Cricetulus griseus: one gene and its partner. The protein of the gene in region 1 purifies or fractionates together with the protein of each later gene. This does not show direct contact. Links are inferred from orthologs where the notes say so. Each region holds a gene or a part of one and is shown on either strand. Other genes may lie near its edges.

Evidence for each region. The genes of interacting proteins can lie anywhere in the genome.
Region 2: the proteins of Pnma2 (region 1) and Mark4 purify together in Homo sapiens (co-immunoprecipitation; 3 studies listed by BioGRID and IntAct, with this or other methods). This does not show direct contact. The link is inferred for Cricetulus griseus from reciprocal best matches to the Homo sapiens genes PNMA2 and MARK4.

Annotation. Positions count from the first base shown.
Region 1 is NW_023276807.1:221,896,286-221,899,599, reverse strand, and holds Pnma2 (paraneoplastic antigen Ma2), read right to left. Parts: upstream 1,941-3,314; coding exon 846-1,940; downstream 1-845.
Region 2 is NC_048602.1:27,909,429-27,913,301, reverse strand, and holds part of Mark4 (MAP/microtubule affinity-regulating kinase 4), read right to left. Parts: intron 3,609-3,873; coding exon 3,543-3,608; intron 3,346-3,542; coding exon 3,275-3,345; intron 1,613-3,274; coding exon 1,556-1,612; intron 1-1,555. UniProt on the Homo sapiens protein: Serine/threonine-protein kinase. Phosphorylates the microtubule-associated protein MAPT/TAU. Also phosphorylates the microtubule-associated proteins MAP2 and MAP4.

The DNA of each region.
Region 1 (3,314 bases):
CCTCCCTTTCTTCCTTCTTCCTTCCTTTTTTCCTTCCTTCTTCCCTCCCTCCCTCCCTTCCTTCCTCTCTTTCTTTCTTTTTTCTTTTTCTTTTTCTCTTTCTTTCTTTCTTTCTTTCTTTCTTTCTTTCTTTCTTTCCTTCCTTCCTTCCTTCTTTCTTTTTGAATTAGGTAGAGGTTTAGCAAGCAGCCATATTTAAAGAGAAGAAAAAGCCCGAAGTACTAGAAAAAGCTTATTTAGGCTTGGGCCCCAGGCAAAAGAAAAGAAAAAGTGAAAGTTCCGTTTTGTGGTGGCTCTGTAGTGACTGTACAGATAGCAGGGATTCTGGGAAGGAAATGTACATGATCTCATTAAGGGGATAATTATTCCTCCCCTGTCTTTAGCATGGAGTTAGATGAATCTGCCTTCCTGGTGGGCAGTCCATTAGCCAGGTGATGGACCTACCCAACTGGATTAACTCTTACGTTTTGGTTAGTTTGGAATGTTAGGGTTCCTTTAGTCTTGTATTCAGTTACACTCTGCTTAAGAGTCCACCAAACCACTCTACTCAGAGTCTAGGCATTTTTTTTTTTCTCAGAAAGAAAAGTTGAGATGGGGTGCTAGTGATGGTATACTCCTCTAATCCCAGAACTCAACTTGGGAGTCCTGAGGCAGGAAAAGTGCAAGTCAAGGCCAGCCTGGGCTATAAGTTGAAACCCTGTCAAAACAAAAGAAAAAAGAAAATATCTGGTTCTAATGCTTGACTTCAATCCTGTGTATTAGAGAAAAATTCCACTGTAATAGGATTAGCCTCATCAAGCACTGTCCCTATGCTCACCAGGGGGTGACAGGAGTAGGGGTGTCTCTCAGTTGTTCCTCGAATTGTCCCAGCGGCCATAGCCCTCTCGTTCCCCTGGCTCCTCCCTGCTCTCATGTTCAAAGTAGGCCTCTTCTTCTTCTTCCTCCCGTATCACCTTCATCAGCTCCAAAAAGGTGGGTAGTGGGCCCTGATCCTTCAGCTCCCGTAACCGGCACCATAGAACATTGGTGAGGTTGGCCCCGGCCATGACCTGCTCCAGGCGTACCTGGTCAGCAATGTTTCGGGGAATAGCCCGTTTTTCCACGGCTCTTCGGAGCAGAGTTTCCAGCCGGAGCACGTAGGCTGAGATTTTCTCCCCTTCTTGCTGATAGGTCTTTAGGTATCTTACCTGCGAGCTCCTACGGCTCTCCAGGCTCCCAAACACCTGCTTAAAGGCTTCCAGACACTCTTCCACACTGATGGATGGGTTGTCTCCCTGTACGATGTGCATGAGGTCCAGGGCAGGGCCGCGGAGGCTCTCCATCATCCACTTTTTCTTTTCTGCCTCTGGGATGGGCCACTCTTTGGCTATCTCAGTAGCCTGTTCCAACCAGATCTCGAAGGACTCCTCCTCCGGGGCAGGTACTGTGTTCCCAGAGAATACTCGCAACTTACAGTACCTCACAGGCTGCAGAGGCCTTGGAGCTTGAGCCATTGCCTGCCCCACCAAGTGGGCCAGTAACTCAGGGGATGTGCAGGTTGGGGTAGCTGGAGACACTCCCTCCTGCTTCAGGGCTCGGAACATCCCTGCAATGGTCTGGCCTTCTTTTTCTAGAAAAAGGTTCAATCTCTGGAGAAACTCACTGTCCTGGTTAGGGGTCTTAAAGATCACTTTCCAGACACCTCCTTTCCCCTGCACCTCACTGGGGACCACAGACATATCTGTGTCCTCCACGAGTTCTAGTAAGACAGCATTCGTGTTGTCTTGCTTCTGGAATATCTTGCCTAGCAGGCGGTAGTTGCCCACACACTTGAGCGCCTCCTGAAGGACTGCCTGGATCTCAGGCTCACCACAGTCGGCTGGTATGCCAGTCACCATCAGTGACTTCTGATCGCTCACACTCATTATCTTGCACCACTCCTCCAACAGTGCCACTGCCATCGCCCTAGGGTATGCTTCTGCACACAGTGCCTGCCTGGCTCACTTCCCAAGTAGCTCAGAGCCTTGCGGACCAACGCTCTGTCCTTTTACTCAGTGTCAAGAACCAGGCACTTCCTGTGTGTCTTCGGACCCACGGCAAGGTTGCTGGGTGGACAGGGTAGGCTGCAGTTACCAGCCCCGTGGCTCTGCAGTGGGTTTGCTGCCGTTTCTGAGAGCCTCAGGCAGCTGTGTGGTGCTGACTCTTGTCACTGTGAAGCACCTGGAATGACTGCTCGACCCAGCCTCTCCCGGTTTCTGTCACTTTGTCTCTACAGTCAATGAGGAGGTGGTTTTCACTCTAGCACCCAAAACTCTGGAAAGTCGTCACACAGCGAGATGGTGAGGACGCCTACGGAAACAGAGGTTTGTTTTTACTACGCAGACCTCTACTTCCCAGGACACACCCACACTGTGGTTTGGAATGGAGCTAGGGGTGGACCAAGGGCTATGACTCCCACTGCACCTTTGTCCACCCCACTCTGTTGGACCCCCTTCTTTGCTCACTGTACTCAGGGCTAGGGGAGCAGCTTAAACCCCTTCTCTCCACCCCAAAGCCCCATCAGTGGGTGGGATTCAAGACCTTCACCATTCGAAAGATGAAATTAGGAGACATAGTTAAATACCTGTTTATGTGTTCCGGAATGTTCCTCAAGAATCAAGGAGCATGTATTCAGCTTCCAGCTCTGGAAGATGTCTCCCACCTCTGTACAATAGTATGGGTGTGTCTGAACTTCATCCAAATCAAGCTGTCCTGTTACACACAAACATGAACAATGTGTTTTTAGGCCTAAAATCTAGTAATAAAGATGAATGCACTTATTAAAAATATAAAGGTTCAGTAAAGGATGGGAAAAAAGTGACAGTCCTGCACAATTTAGTAGAACATCCTAAATAAGATAGTTGCTGCACTTTGAATAAAAACACCTCCTAGTTCTGGGTATACTCCTCAGTCTGTAGAGTGCTTGCCTACCATACGTGAACAAAGCCTGGAGTTCAATTTCCAGCACCACATAAACTGGGCATGGTGGTACATGCCTGTATTCCCAGCACTTGGGAGGTGGAGGCAGGAGGATCAGGAATTTAAGATCATTCTTGACCTCATAGGGACTTTGAGGTCAGCCTGGGCTACATGAGAATCATACTTAAAAACAAATACAACTGCACTGTGTGTGGTGCCACTCTCAACTGTTGTGAAGATAAGGCAGGAGGGTGCCAAGTTTGAACTCAATCTGGGCTACCCCCAAGAAATCTCGTCTCAAAAGAAGAAAAAGATATATATAAAAAAAACCTAAGTAGAATCACTCAGACCTTTCAAAATAATTTTTAATGGGTATA
Region 2 (3,873 bases), on another chromosome or scaffold:
CCACAGCCATCCCACAGTGGGCTTCATGTCTTGGAAACCAGGCTTCCTTTTTTGTTGTTGTTGAGATGGGGTCTATGTGGCTCAAGATGGCACTGATCTCACCGCATAGCCCAGGCTATCCTCCAACTCATGGCAACCACCCCCAAAGTGCTGAGATCACAGGCTTGTAGCTGGCACAAGGCTTGCATCTTAGCTCAGGCTGTCTTCAAACCTACAGTCATCCTCCTGAGAGCTGGGATTACAGGCGAGACCCACCACACACAACTTCCCCCAGCTTTTGTTGTTGGTGCTGTTTTGAGACAATGTAACGGAGGCTGGCCTTAAACTCCCGTTGATCCCCTCAATGTAACTGAGGCTGGCCTTAAACTCCCGTTGATCCCCTCAATGTAACGGAGGCTGGCCTTAAACTCCCGTTGATCCCCTCAATGTAACGGAGGCTGGCCTTAAACTCCTGTTGATCCCCTCAATGTAACCGAGGCTGGCCTTAAACTCCCGTTGATCCCCTCAATGTAACGGAGGCTGGCCTTAAACTCCCGTTGATCCCCTCAATGTAACGGAGGCTGGCCTTAAACTCCCGTTGATCCCCTCAATGTAACGGAGGCTGGCCTTAAACTCCCGTTGATCCCCTCAATGTAACGGAGGCTGGCCTTAAACTCCCGTTGATCTCCTTTTGTCCCGTTTCTGAGACTGAACCCAGGACCTTGCAAGTGTCAAAGGAATCTATGACAAACCATTTTCACAGCCCTTGGCCTTGAACTCCTGATCTTCCTGTGTCTATTTCCCAAATTCCGGGATTACAGGTACGCCCCACACTCAGGTAGCCCCAGGGTTTCTGTTGTTGTTTTTATTATTATGTGCACATGACCGGTGAGTGGGATGGGGGTGCGCGCATCTGTGGAGGTGAAAGGCTAACTATAAAGTCAGTTCTCACTCCTTCCACCTTGTGGGCACCAGGTGCCCGCCCACTGAACACAGGCTGACGCATGGGAACAGCAAGCCAAACACCTGTATCCACTAAAGCCACCCCCGGCTCTCAAAGACAATGAAACAACTCCAGTCCTCAGGCAGAGTTTGTCCTTCAAGCCCTTAGTGTCCAGGTCAGCACATAGTAGGGCTCGCAAAGGATGACCCAGATGGGCTTGCACGGAGCCTACTGGGCTATCCGGTCTGAGATGTCTGTGTTCTTTGATTAGGAGTCACCAGAGAGGCCGCAGCAGGAGGCGGGGCCGGGCCTGAGCCCGAGGGGTCGCTTTGGCATCCCCCGGTGCTGGTGCTGTGACCTCTGTGTCACCCCAAGACCCTGGGCTTCCAAGACTCTGTGGAGTGACCTGGGCCTGAAAGTCAAGTTCTCACAGTTTCTAGAACGCCAGAGATACATCCAGGCACTGAAGGCCGAAGGCTGATAGCGTATCTCACCCTGATGTCCTCAGGCCATCAGGACACTTGGTCCCAACCCATGTCAGCCCACCTCCTCAATGCAACAAATGCCTGGGAAGAAGCCTGGGTACCGGGCGGCAGGGCTGGGGTGCCTGGGGTCACAGTGGGAGGGGCTTACCTTTAGGTCCCTGTGTACAATGTTCTTCTGGTGACAGTAGTGTACCGCGGATACGATCTACGGTAGAAGACAGTCAGCAGCCCATGGAGCCACCACCCACAGGGGACCTCCACACCCAGCACCTCCCCTGGGCACAAGCTGAGGCCCTATGGGACCCTGGCAAACTTCAGCACCCTGACAGTGAGATCACACACGTGTACACACACACACACACACACACACACACACACACACACGCTCACACGGGCAGGCAGGCACGCTCACACACGTGTACACACACACACACACACACACACACACACACACACACACACACGCTCACACGGGCAGGCACGCTCACACGGGCAGGCACGCTCACACACGTGTACACACACACACACACACACACACGCGCGCGCGCGCGTTCACACGTCCACAGCTGTAGCCCCTTGGGACTAGCCCATGTTTGGAAACTCCCAAAGTGTACCATGTTGGAAACAGGTGTGTGGGCCCAAGTCGCCACAGCTAATATCTTGACCCCCAAAAGCACCTGAAGGAGGTGCTTACCCTACATAAAGGGCCAATACTAAATATAGTGGCGCCCCCCCCCCCCACAGGCCACACATGCTGACAGCGCTCACGCCTGTTCTCTCAAATTTCACAGCTACCATCTTTTTACCCTGAATCTGTTCTTCACACCTGCACCTCTCGCCTCACACCTGGGCCTCACACCTGCACGTCCTCTCTGGCCTCACACCTGGGCCTCACACCTGCACGTCCTCTCTGGCCTCACACCTGGGCCTCACACCTGCACGTCCCCTCTCGCCTCACACCTGCACGCCCAGTCACCTCACACCTGGTAAGTCCTCTCACCTGATAGTCACTCTCACCCACCAATGTCCACACCCTGACCGCGGAATCCTCCACACCGGGGCATCGCCATGACACACCCGATACCAGCACCTGCAGGTCCTGCCACCGCCAAGCACCACCCGCACCCTGCACTCCACCGCGTGCAGGATCACACGCCTACACACACACCTCGGCAAGGATCCACACACCTTTCTCTGTATCTTCCACGGGACTGTGTACGTGTGTTTCTGCATGCTCACGTGCGTGTCAGTGAATGTGCGCGTGCGTGCGGAGGCCAGAGGCTGACATGGGGCCTTCCTCAATTGTTCTCTACTGTATTTACGGGGCAGGGTGTCTCCCTTGCTGAAGCCAGAGCGTGCCAATCTAGCTACTGTAGTTACCCAGCCCCAGCGAGCCCGTCTGTCTCCTAGGGATGGAGGTGCCCGTTCTGCCCACCCACCCCACGGATGGCAGGGAGCCAAACTCTGGGCCCCTGGCTCGCTCAGCAGGTGCTGTGTCCACTGAGCCATCTCCCGAGCATTTCCTTTTCCGCTCCCTCCTTCCCTTTCACGACAGGGTCTTATATAGATAGCCCAGGCTAGCCCCGAGCTCTACGTGGCCAAGGATGACCTTGAGCTCCTGATCCCTGGCTCCACCCTCGAGTGGTGGGGGACCACCCCAGCTTTGCCACACATATTCTGGAACTTTTCCCATCTTCCCGCCCTCGCATCTACACTCTGTCACTCGCACCCCCAGGTCCCCAACAGCCCCCTCCCACCTGAGTCCCTGCATGCCCTCCCCCCTGTACACGCATCTGCAGGGCACACCGCTCTGCCCTCACCCAGACCCTCTTCCCAGGAGCCAGGGGTGGGGAACCCCGTCTCTCACCTGTCGGAACTTGGCTCGGGCCTCCTTCTCCTTCATGCGGCCATGGGACACGAGGTAGTCAAATACTTCTCCTGCAGATGGAGAGGAAGAGGGGTCAGGGCTGGAGCCAGGGGGCAGGGGGGTATGTGAGCACAGGGCACGGGGGGTGCAGGGGTATGTGAGAGCAGGGTGTGGGGGTGCAGGGGGTATGGGGGTACAGAGGTATGTGAGCACAGGGCACGGGGGTACAGGGGGTATGTGAGAGCAGGGTGTGGGGGTGTGGCCTCACCTGCGCTGGCATATTCCATCACCAAGTACAGCGTCTTCTCTGTCTCTATCACCTCAAAGAGCTTGACTAGGGGGAGGGGGGCAGGTTAGGTAAGAGTAGAAGAGCCACCATTCTCCACCCCACCCCACAGCCATCCCGAGAACCGTCAGTGGCTCCCCTCTCAGTGGCTTCCTACTGTTGGCCAGGCTTTCCACGCTGCTCAGCCTCCCCTTCTCTACAGGAGAGTTTCAGCCCGATGAGGTCTGGGACCTGTGCCCGTGTTGCAGGCAGTCACCAGCCACATCCAGGGGGCTAAACTGTGTTCCTCTCCTCTGCCTAACTAATGACAATG